Linked DNA regions of Elephas maximus indicus. The protein of the gene in region 1 interacts with the protein of each later gene in a pairwise test. Links are inferred from orthologs where the notes say so. Each region holds a gene or a part of one and is shown on either strand. Other genes may lie near its edges.

Region 1 (3,744 bases):
ATCTCTTCCACCCAACAATGAGCTCCCACAGGGCAGAGATCTTGTTTCTCATCATTGTACCCCCAGCACTGAGAACATGGCTTGATAGAAAGGAGGCACCCACTAAAGGTTATGTGACAAAGAAAATTTTCCAGTTCAAATATAGAAATCGTGATTCCGTCCTTCATCCCATTAAGTATGTCTTAAAGTGGAAATCATGTGGAAAGCATCCTCTAAGACTGGCTAAACTGGAGAAGCAATTAGCAAGAAGCCACTTTAATTTATCTGAGTCAGCTGGCAATCAACAATCAACTTCCCAAGGCTCACTTTTCATCCTGGAGCCCTCAAATTCCACCCTCTTCAGTCCCTACCTTCTCTGTTGAAAATGAAATTGTGAAGGCAGCAAAATGAAGTCGCCATGGCTCTCACCTTTTCTCTAAGGAGAGCTGGCACAAACTCCCTTCTTGATGGAGACACCAGATCGTTAGCAGGAATAACTTGTTTGAGTTCCCATCTTGATATAAAAAGCAAACAACAAAAAACAGGCAAATGTGAAAGGCTTGCTGACTCTGCGACACACATTCCAAGGCACCTTTGCCGGTAAGAAAGGAGAGATCAGGTTTTAAATTGAGAAACAGCAGTTAGTGAAAACGAACGCACAGATGCTGGATCCGTGTGCTGCAGCTCGGGAAAAGGACAAACCATCAGATTTCCCAACTCAGCCTGGGCAGAGCAAGAAGGTACAGTAGTCTCCCTCCACCCACTCAACAGTCAAGGGCATAGTTCAATACACACACACACACACACACGCTTTTATACCTGCTTGTATCCAACCAAAAAAAAAAAAAAAAAAACTGTTGCCATCGAGTCGATTCCAACTCACAGCGACCCTACACAACAGAGGAGAACTGCCCCATAGTTTCCAAGGAGTGCCTGGTGAACTCAAACTGATGACTTTTTGGTTAGCAGCCGTAGCTCTTAACCACTACACCACCAGGGTTTCTGAGCCCTTGAATAAACGAGGACCAAACCCACTGCCGTCGAGTTGATTCCGATTCATAGCGACCCTACCTACAGGACAGAGTAGAACTGCCTTACAGAGTTTCCAAGGAGCACCTGGTAGATTCAAACTGCAGACCTTTTGGTTAGCAGGCGTAGCTTTTAACCACTACGCCACCAGGGTTTCCAGCCCTTGCTTAGAAGGCCTAAAAGGATTTCATAACCCCGTCTACAGTGCAGACATCCAGGAAGTCAACACACCAGATGGTAAAAGTTTGGCCATGGTCACAAAGCAAATGAATAAGAGGCTTACTTAACCTGATGGCTCAAGTAAGGCCTGATTTTGGCTACCAGAAATTCTACTTTCCAGAATTCTAGAGGGGCTAGGATAGCATGCAGAAATATTTTGAGTTTTCTTTTAATTCATGGTCCAAGAGTCTGTACACACCCTATGTCTACAGCTGTGGGCGCTAAGGGAAGTGGAACCTGTGTGGAAGGCAGCAGCAGACAGAGAAAGGAAGGATGAAAAAGAATAGCTCCAGAAAAAGGAAGAGTCTTTTAAATCCTCTTCAGCATAGTTTACAGATCACCCAAAAGCGACCAGGAAACAGCTTCCGGGAAAGAGAACCCCACTTGAGAGGAGGGAAACTGAGTTACGAAGTAAAGTCTTCCAAAGCACAACCCCGGGTCCCAGTTAGTCCTTCACCTGGCGGCAGACCTCATACCCTAATCAGGTAGCCCGGTGGCAATGCCACCACCTCCTCCAGGTCCTAGCGGAAAAGGGCGCACGTCTCCCGACGGACTCCAACTCTTAGGGTCTGTGCCCCTCCCCCTGCAGCCTTTCAGCTTCTAACTAAGCGTTCACCCTCCTCCCCGGCACCCAGTCCTGTCCTAAGCCCCTAGCGCCTCCCAGTTCCCCCAACTTCCGCCTCTGGGACCCCCAGCCCGGAGGCCAGTCCTCCCAGCCCCAGACCCTCACCCCCAGGGCTCCGGGACCCCAGCACAGCCCTTCCTCACTCCCACGCCTCCCCCTTCCGGTCCCAGCTCGGCTCAGTCTCCCCCCGCCCCTGGGACCCCAACCCAGGCGACGGGCAGACGACCTGCCCGTCCCTCTCACCAAAGCTGAGGCGGGAGAGGAGGACAGGTTGAGGGGAACGCTGGCGCTCGCGCTGGGACTCCGGCTTCACCTGGGCAGCACTCCAGTTAAGGATCCGACTCTGAGGAGACAGCTAGAGTGAAACTCGGCGTCGCAGCTTCCGAGCGCTCTGTACGCATGCCCACGACGCGCGGTCTTCTGGGAAATGTAGTTCCGGCGGGACAGCGGGCACAGGGATGAAAGCAATTCGCACCTGTGCAGGTCTAAACTCACTCTTCACCTATTCACTTGTGACTTCTTTAATTCACTGACTCGTTCGAAAGAATTTGTTTTGTTTTTTACCAGTACTATATGATGCCAGGCCCTGTGCTGACTAAAAAAAAAATATTGGAGGTTAAATGGTCAAAGTTCGTTTCTCTCCTGGGAGAACTTCCTATCTTGTTGGAGAGACAGACACTTAAACACACAACTACAATCTAGGGCGATAAATGCTGTGATAAAGAAGTGGAAGCCAGAAAGAGGTGTGCCTAACTTTGGGTGGGGGTTGGTAGTCACGAAGATTCACAAAGGAGATGACCTCTGAGGTGGATTTTGAAGTAGGTGGATTTTGATGTGCAAAGGAAGAGAGATATGAAAGTTCTTGACACATTCAGGAACCAGTGAAAAGTTTCAAAGTTCCCTGTGGCCCTAAGGTAAAAGCAGAGGGCTGGAGAGGAGGGGGAGGAAGGAGACAATGGGTTAAGTGTGGCAGGCTATGAATATGGAGAGAGGGCTGAGTAAGATCATGATGGACTTTAAAAGTCATGCAAGGAATTTGGGCAACTGGAGCCAATGGAAATATTTAATCGGGAATGAAAGGGTCAGCAGTGCAGTTTAGAAAGATGCCCTGTGTGGTAAGCGGAGGATCTATTGGCGAGGAGGAGAAAGGAGGTGGGGAGACCAGAGGCTATTGCCATAGTCCTGACAGAAGATAATAAGGCCTGAAACCAGGCTGGTGGCTTAATCTCTTGAGATCACACACCTCCTTTGAAAAACTAAAGAAAGCGACTCTCAGAAAAAAGCTCAAATGTGAATGTTTACATCCATAGACCATTTCGCAAGCCCTTTCAGGAAACGCAGGGTCTTTGGAATCTTGGGCTGGCTACATGCAGTTAAGTATCTTTACATGACCTAATGTACTCCTACCTTATCAGGAATTTAACACAGATTCAGACTGCTGGAGAAGGAGGAAGAAACCTTGCCTCTCATTCAGCTTAAAAGCTTCATTTTATAAAAGAGGAAACTGAAGCCCAGAAGGGGGGAGTAGCCTGCCCAAGGTTAGTGAAGAAAGAATCTGCAGCAGCCCCAGTCTCTGGTTCCTAGGCCAGGACCTTTTACAGCCTGAGAGCTGCCTTAGAGGACACAGACCTTGGGTCTGGGGAGGCCCCAATGTCAGATTTACACAATTACTCTCAGAGCATAATTCATGGAAAAATGGAGGGTGGCACTCTACCTGTGATTTATACTAGGTACCTGCAGTGTCTATATTAGGACGAAAACTTCTCACTTCCCCTTGGAGAGCCTCAGTTCTCTCAACTGTAACCATCTATAACATTTCTAAAGTACTTAGTATGTACGTGGCATGCATCACCTCATTGAATCCTCTCAATGAAGTAGGTACTATCATTATC
Region 2 (3,744 bases), about 150 kb from region 1:
ACAATGACTTAACCAAACTTGAGGTTAAGGGCACAGTCCTCCAGACTGCCAAGTCTGCCCAAGACTTCAGACACCAGCTGCAAATTCAGGGGTCCAGAAGGCCATCCTCCCTTCTGTCCAGCCTGCTGCCAATTCGGGGGTCCCCATGGATTCTCTCAGGTTCATATAAATTGCTAAGGCGACTCACAGACCCTCGGGAAGTGCTATACTTAAAATTACAGTTTTATTATAGCCAAAGGATACAGATCAGAACCAGCCTAAGAGACACATAGAGTGGAACCTGGAACCGGGAGAGTTCCAAAGGCGAACCTTTTGTGTTCTTAGGGATGAATTACTCTCTTCCGGCGACGATATGTGCCAGTACACGCAAGGAGTACTGCCAACCCAGGAAGCTCACCTGAGCTTGGTGTCCAGAGTTTTATTGGGGGCTTTATTATGTAGGCATGATTGATTAAATCATTCTGTATGTTGTTCAACTCAATCTCCAGCCCCCTCCTCTCCCCTGGAGGCTGAGCTGACATCACATAGCTCAAAGTCCCAACCTCTGATCACATGGTTGGTCTTTTCTTGTGTGGCCAGCCCCCATCCCGAGTCATCTCCTTATCATAAACTATCTAGGGGCCCACCATAAGTTCTTCTGGCTTTCTTGACTAACGTAAGAGTTAGAACCTAACGTAGTATTTGCTGGATTATATGTACCACTCAGTTTTAATCCTCAGGACAACCCCAGGAGGTAGGGACCATAGCTGCTCCTGCATGTGAGGCTCTGGCCAGAGCTTGCCCAGCTAGGACTGCAAAGCCCATCAAAGCTCCACCCTGGCCCTCTGTGGCCTCTCTTCTCTCCCTGCTCCCATCCCCAGGGCCCTACTGCTGGTCCTCCATTCTTCTCTCACTGTTCTCGCCCCCTGAAGCTTCACCTTCAGCCTCTGACTTCAGCTTAGATGTCTCCTGAGCTTTGGGCCACCATCTCCTGTCTCCTGGACCCCTCGCACTGGACATCTTGCTCTCCTCATCCAACAACCATCCAAGCTGGGATGGTGCCACCCCACAGTGCCCCATGTCTCCAGGCTTATGGCCACCAGCCTGAACTGTTTCAGGCCCCCAGCACTTCTACTGTGAACACCGCAGAGATTTCTCCACTGGCTTCCCAGCCTCCATACCTTCATACCATGCCTCTCAGTCTACCCCAGGAGCTTTTTAAAATTCACATCTGACCGTTTAGGAGCTCCCTGTGGACTTTAGGACACATCCACCCTGCTCAGTGGACACACAGGCGTCTCCGTCGGCAGGCTCCATTGCTTTTTCCAGCCTGAGCCTCACTCCACTCTCCAAGCACATGCACTTCCCCCAGGCCTTTGTCTAAGCAGCTCCAACATGGACCGTGCTTGCAGCCAACTAAAATATTTCCAGGCCACGTGGCGCAGTGGTTAAAGTGATCACTGCTAACCAAAAGGTCCGCAATTCAAAATCATCAGAGACTCCAGGGGAGAAAGATGAGGTAGTCTGCTTCCTAAAGATTTACACCTTTGGAAACCCTAAACCCACTTTCGCTATTGGTCAGAATCAACTCCACAGCAGTGGGTTAAGTTTTTGGTTAAATAGGAATTAATATTCTCCTTGAGTGGTTAAGCGTTGGCTGCTAACCAGGTCGCCAGTTCGAATCTGGCAGCCGCTCCTTGGAAACTCTATGGGGCAGTTCTACTCTGTCCTATAGGGTCGCTATGAGTCAGAATTGACTGAACAGCAACGATTTTTTTTTTCTTTTTGGACAATTTCGGTCCAAGTTGTTTGGGGCCCCTTTGCCCTGGCTTCCCCCACCCTCACTCTTTCTGTCTTCTCCCCAGGTCCCGTGAAGCTCAGCACCAGACAGGGAGGGGCTAGGTCGAGGTTTGCTGACACACTCCCCAAGGTCCCGGAGGTGAACTGTGATTGGACGACACCCCACGTGGAGGAGCCCCTTCTCTACACCCAAGACCACTCCTCAAAGCCCTCATCCCCTCACCCTGCAACGCCCCGGGCTCCTGACAGTCTGGTCCTGGCCCGTCTCGTGACTAATCTGGGCCTCAGTTTCCCCATATGTAGAATGGAGTTTGTGGGCGCGGTCCATGTCCCAGTCCTTACCTGCGGAGGGAGCTGCCAGGACAGGTCACCACCGCGCTGCCGCTCGCAGATCAGACAGGTCCTGATGCCCTTGCAGCCACATTCCTGAAGGACCTCTGGTGCCTCTGCCACCGTCGCCGCCGCCATAGCCCCGCCCGGGCAGCCAGGACGCAGGCGCGGGGCCGCGTGGGCCGCTGGGAGTTGTAGTCCTCACCGCTGGACACGTGGTCCGAGGGCCCGCTTCCTTCCGGTCTTCACCGCTGACGGGCTCGCGAGGCGCCGCCTTCTGGGCTTGCTCACCGCCGGGCGACAGTACCGGGCTTCTCGAACGCTGGAGCTGCCGTTGGTGGCGGCACGGGCCACGCCTTCTCGCCATGGGCCCCCTCTCGACGCGGCTGCTGATGCAGCGTGGCCGGCCCAAGAGCGATCGGCTTGGGAAGATCCGCAGCCTGGAGTAAGGGCTGGGCCGGGGGCGAGGTTGTGTCCGCGGGATCAGGGCCACACAGCCCGCCACCCAGGCTGTCTGGGCTGCCCGGGCCTGGGCTGCCGGGGGTCGGGAAGAAAGCCTGGGGCCCTCCCCGACTCCATGCCCATCCCGGTTAGCGCCTCTTCGGTTCGCCATCGCCCCATCGCCAGGTGCCTTCCTCTAGTGACACGGGGCCGAACCGCCACCCTACCCGTGTGCCCCCTGGGCCCCGAGTGGCCTTACTCCGGAAAAGTGCCCTGACTGCTAGGGTGACAGACAGTGTTGATATAACTGGGGTGGGGGGGCCGTGGGGAGCACAGGGAGCCCCCAGAGGATCAGGAAAACCATCCTGGAGGGGACTATGCTCGGCTGAGCCCTGAAGTATGGCAAGATTAAAAATAAGTAAATAAAAAGTGTGAGGGGTGGGGAGGAAGGGGTTGTGCATGTTCCAGAAATGTGAGGGGAGAAGGCCATCTGAGGCCAGGGGCAGCTGGAGGTGTAGGGTGGGAGGCATGCCGGCCCCCTGCTTGCCCCCTGAGCCTTCCACGTCTGCCTCCCTCCTCACCTCAGCCTGTCAGGGCTGAAGCTACGCTCTGAGCACTTGGACCCCAGTCTCCTGGGCCGCCTAAGGCAGCTGCAAGAGCTGGACTTGTCCAACAACCAGCTGGACACACTGCCTGCCAACCTGGGCCTGTCCCACCTGCGCATCCTCCGCTGTGCCAACAACCAGCTGGGGGACGTCACTTTCTTGTGCCAGTTCCCACAGCTCGAGGAGCTCAGCCTGGAGGGCAACCCCTTCCTGACGGTGAGTGCCTCCCCCAGGCCCCAGGCCCTGGGGCCAGGACTCTTCTGGGATCAGATGGGCAGCCTCTGAGCCATGGTTCCCTTATCTCCCAGGTCAGTGACAACCTGAAAGTCTCCTTTCTCCTGCCCAAGCTCCGTAAGGTCAATGGCAAAGAGGCTTCCGCAACTTTCTCTCAGGTGGAGAACCTGAACCGGGAGCTGACCAGCAGGGTAAGGGCAGTGTCTCTGGGAAGCTGGAGGCAGCATTGAGGAGGGAGTGCAGAATGAGACATTTGGAGGACACTGAGGGCTGCTGTCCTGACACAAAGGGGCCCTTACATCCCTAAGCCTGGCCTGAGCCAGGTGCTGCCTCTCCTCTGAAGTCAGGTGCTTGG
Region 3 (3,744 bases), on another chromosome or scaffold:
CCTGTAGAATCTGAAATCTCTCTCTTCAGGTTAAAACCTTTAGTCATATCCCTTGAGTCTAAACCTTTTCACACAAAGAAGTTAGATTCAGATGGGGCAAGGACAGTATGTCCCACAGATGGATAAGAGAACAGGTGATCACCCCAAGAAATTTTCACAGCTGCAGACGGGGCACTTGAGAAATTCTCACCACACTCAAGATCCCTGGTTATCTCCACCAACAGAGAAATGACACAGAAGTCACTGTCTGCCAAGGAGGCCAGGTGTTTACAAACAATACCCGGGGCTTGCACCATTCAGGTCTCCCCTGGTCCAGACACCGGCATCCATGTGCTCAGCACCACCAGCTGGGCAGGTGGGCCTTATTTATTCTGTAGCTCACAAAACAATGTCACGGACAAAACAGCTTTAAACAGTGCTGTGATGGTATGTAAGTTATGTAAATTGCCCCTGTGTTTTCATTCCAATTTCCCATCTTAACCTATGTTAGAAATATCTTATTTAACATTTTCTGCTTTTTCTAATTTAACAGCTTTTAAATCGATCAGTTTGCTATTGATTTTTTTTTGCTATTGATTTTAAGGAGCTGAGCAGGTTGAAATTGTAGGCTTCCATTGCAAGCAAACTGGCCCAGCTGTGCTTTCCACCCAGCCCTGCTCCCACCCAGCCCTGCTCCCACCCAATGTTCTAGAGAGGGGACTCCTGGCCTGTTTGCCCAGGACTCCCTAATTTCTGTTTATGGAGCCTCTTTCCTTGGAGTTACACAGGCACCTCACCTCTGTGTCTCCATGGAAACCTCCCCTTTGTACCTCCTTTACCTCCTCCTCCTCCCTTACCCCAAATCTAATCAGCTGCCACATCTGAACTCCTTTACCTTTCTTTCCTCTCTGTTCCCAGCCACCGCAGCTAACTCGGACCTCCCCAGCACCTGTTCCATTTCAACCTGGCCTCTTCGCCTCCAGTCCTACCCCTCCTATGTATGGCTGACAAATTCATCTTCCAGAGGAACAATGATCACATGACTTCCTTGTTTAAAACCATTGAGGGTCTTCCCAGAAGTGGAGGGACAGAACCCATACTCCTGAGCCTGTCATTCGAAGTTCTCTGAAGCGTGGCCACATCCAAACAATTCCATGTACAATCAATCCCACTGCTCCCTTTGATAACCCCAGTGCACCAACGACTCACCGAACCCTAGGCATGCTCACAGCAAGTCACCATCACTTACGCTATCCCTCCTGCCTGCAATGCCCCTCAGCCCCCTGCTCTGTATATTCAAAATTTCCAATTCTTCAAGATCTCACTAAAATATCCAACCTCCAAAAAACCTTCGCTCACCACCTGGGCTGGAAAGGGTACTTCATTCCTAACTCTCTGATGACACTTGCTAGGCATTGTGACTGTCCTCCCACCACACCCCACCCCCAACAGACGACCTCCCTCTCCTAGGAATTCCCCACAACTGACAACTGGCCTCTGACTCCCTGCTTCCAGCCCATACCCACAGCAGTCAGTGCACAACACCCAAAACTTTGCGACAGCCAGCCTAGCTGTCCCCTTTTTGCCCTCCTTCCACTTTCAAAAACTACCGAAATGAGCACAGATGTCACAGTTCAGCCCCAGATGACAGAGAATGTGACTTGGGCAGGACTGGGGATGCCCCACGCTGTTATCACAGGTTGTACGAACTAATGACTATGATACACACCCGCCAGTTGCCAAAGGGGCAAAGGACCAGCGCTCGATGGCCAGGCGGGCAGGGGAAAATCTGGGGGCCGGAGTTCTACCCTGTTGAATCCTAACTCCAAACTTTTCCCTCCGTCAGTGTGGCACCCTTCTACCCTCCAAGACCCACTGACGCGGAGATGCCACAGGGGCTGGGACCGGAAGAGAAAAATGCGCGGAATGGAGAAGGCAAATATGGTTTTATCGGAGCTTGAGTGGATCCAGGACCGGTCCTTCTGGCTGCCGGGGCTGCAGAATCCGAAGTCCTGCTGCCCGCGAATCCAGGCAGGCGCATCCTGGGGTCTGGGATGGGGCAGAGAGAGGGATATAGATGCTGCGCTCTTGCTGGTGCTGATGTTGAGGCAGCTGCGCGGAGTGACAGCCGCTCCCCCACCCTACCCCGGGACTGAGCGCCCAGCTCCCGGGCCGGAGGACGCCCGCCGCGCCTGGCCCGCGCCGACCCCGGGGCAGGGCCTGCGGGCAGCGGCCGAACGGCCGGGCCGCGCCGTTACTCACCCGGAGGGTTGACTGCCGCCGGGGTTGCCATCTTGCCGGGGAAGGATGGGCGCGCGCCGGCGGGAAGCGGGAGGGGCGCGCGGAGCCGAGCGCCCCCCGGGGCCAGGCGCGGCCGGCGCAGGCCCAGGCGCCGCCGCCGCCGCTGCCGCCGCTGCCGCCGCCACACAAAGGACGGCGCGGGCGGTCGCTGCCTCCGCGCTCTCACCGCCGCCGCCGCCGCCGCCGCCGTTCGCCGCCCCGCCTTTATCTCCTCCTCCTCCTGCTCCTCGGCCTCCTCCTCCGGGTTCAGCCTTTGTCGCGCGGCTGGGGGCGCGCAGTCCGCGCCGCTCGGAAGCCCGGCCCGTGGCTCCCCCGTCCGAGCCGTAGCACCGCGAGACTTGGGGCTGCGGGCGGCTGGACCCCCGAAGTTTGGAGGCTCTGGCTGGAGGGGTGCCCCTGCGGGCGGGGGGAAGCAGGCGGGCGTCCGCCCCCTCGGGCCCGCGTAGGTGCTTGGGCCTGCCCAGGCTGGGGCCTTCAGGCGCACCCCCTCCCGTGCCGCCTTAGTTTGCCCCCCACACCCACATCCCAAATGTCCGGGGGCGCATCATCGAGGGGCGCCGTCCCCAGCCTTGTGGGCCAGGGCGGAGCGGGTGGGGCCGAAGTCCATTAAGATTCAAGAGGGAAACGGGGTCCTTGGAGATGGCCGCAAGAAACAAAGGCGTTCCAGTGCTGCCCACTTAGCATGCCAGGGCCGCGCAACTAGGCTCCTCGGGGCAGAGACCCAGTCCCCGGTGCTGAAGGAAGGACGTCCAGAAATTCCTAAGGTCCCCCACACCTCCAAGGCCACCGCAACACAAAGCTTCAAGGTGCACTCAGTAAACACGTCCAGGCAGAGGCCGCTGGGCCCAAGCTCGGCTACCTTCTCGCCATGGTGATTGTCGTTGGTTATTATCTGAGGTTGCTGCAAGAGCCTTATTTACAATTTTAAGTTGATCATTTAAAATGCTTTTTTTCTGATGCTTTGATTTGCATATCCTGGTAGAGCTGGGCTGCCCAGAGCTTGGAGGGGTTGTTTTCTACCACACAGTAAGATCTGTGTGAAAGGTCATGACTTTTAGGTAGAAAACATCACCATAGTGGTGAATCCATAAACAGATGGATATCATGAAGAGCCTATTAGTCAGATCAATAGTGACAAATACTTCCTGAAGAAAATTCTTATTTGAAAATACACCCCAAGCATTGTTTCTCCACCCCACCATTAGCCCCCACAGTTGGCTGATACAGAAACTGAGGCTCAGGGTAGAGAAGTGCCTTTCCCAAGGTCATATGGTTCAACAGCAGGAGAAGACTTAGAACCGGGTCACCCACATGCTGGGATTTGGTGGCCCAGGGAGGTAGAGTGGGATCGGGTGAGAAGGGATAGAAGAATGGGTAATTGGGGGCCTTGCCTTCTCTCTTATCTCTGGGCGTTAAATAGTTTAAATACCCAGAAACATCGATTGTGTGTGAAAGCCTCCACCC

The links.
Region 2: the proteins of DTX2 (region 1) and ALKBH4 interact in binary tests that used the Homo sapiens proteins (3 or more experiments, as listed by UniProt). The two-hybrid records come from large-scale screens. The link is inferred for Elephas maximus indicus from reciprocal best matches to the Homo sapiens genes DTX2 and ALKBH4.
Region 3: the proteins of DTX2 (region 1) and ARNT2 interact in binary tests that used the Homo sapiens proteins (3 or more experiments, as listed by UniProt). The link is inferred for Elephas maximus indicus from reciprocal best matches to the Homo sapiens genes DTX2 and ARNT2.

The regions. Positions count from the first base shown.
Region 1 is NC_064830.1:94,110,926-94,114,669, forward strand, and holds the start of DTX2 (probable E3 ubiquitin-protein ligase DTX2), read right to left. Parts: upstream 2,231-3,744; 5' UTR 2,096-2,230; intron 1,834-2,095; exon of another isoform or gene 1,704-1,833; intron 494-1,703; exon of another isoform or gene 409-493; intron 1-408. UniProt on the Homo sapiens protein: Regulator of Notch signaling, a signaling pathway involved in cell-cell communications that regulates a broad spectrum of cell-fate determinations.
Region 2 is NC_064830.1:93,961,768-93,965,511, forward strand, and holds the start of ALKBH4 (alpha-ketoglutarate-dependent dioxygenase alkB homolog 4), read right to left. Parts: upstream 2,282-3,744; 5' UTR 2,248-2,281; coding exon 2,122-2,247; intron 1-2,121. Other genes in the region: LRWD1 (leucine-rich repeat and WD repeat-containing protein 1), read left to right, coding at 2,475-2,554, 3,137-3,371, 3,464-3,580. UniProt on the Homo sapiens protein: Dioxygenase that mediates demethylation of actin monomethylated at 'Lys-84' (K84me1), thereby acting as a regulator of actomyosin-processes.
Region 3 is NC_064831.1:70,470,604-70,474,347, reverse strand, and holds the start of ARNT2 (aryl hydrocarbon receptor nuclear translocator 2), read right to left. Parts: upstream 2,366-3,744; 5' UTR 2,273-2,365; coding exon 2,242-2,272; intron 1-2,241. UniProt on the Homo sapiens protein: Transcription factor that plays a role in the development of the hypothalamo-pituitary axis, postnatal brain growth, and visual and renal function. Specifically recognizes the xenobiotic response element (XRE).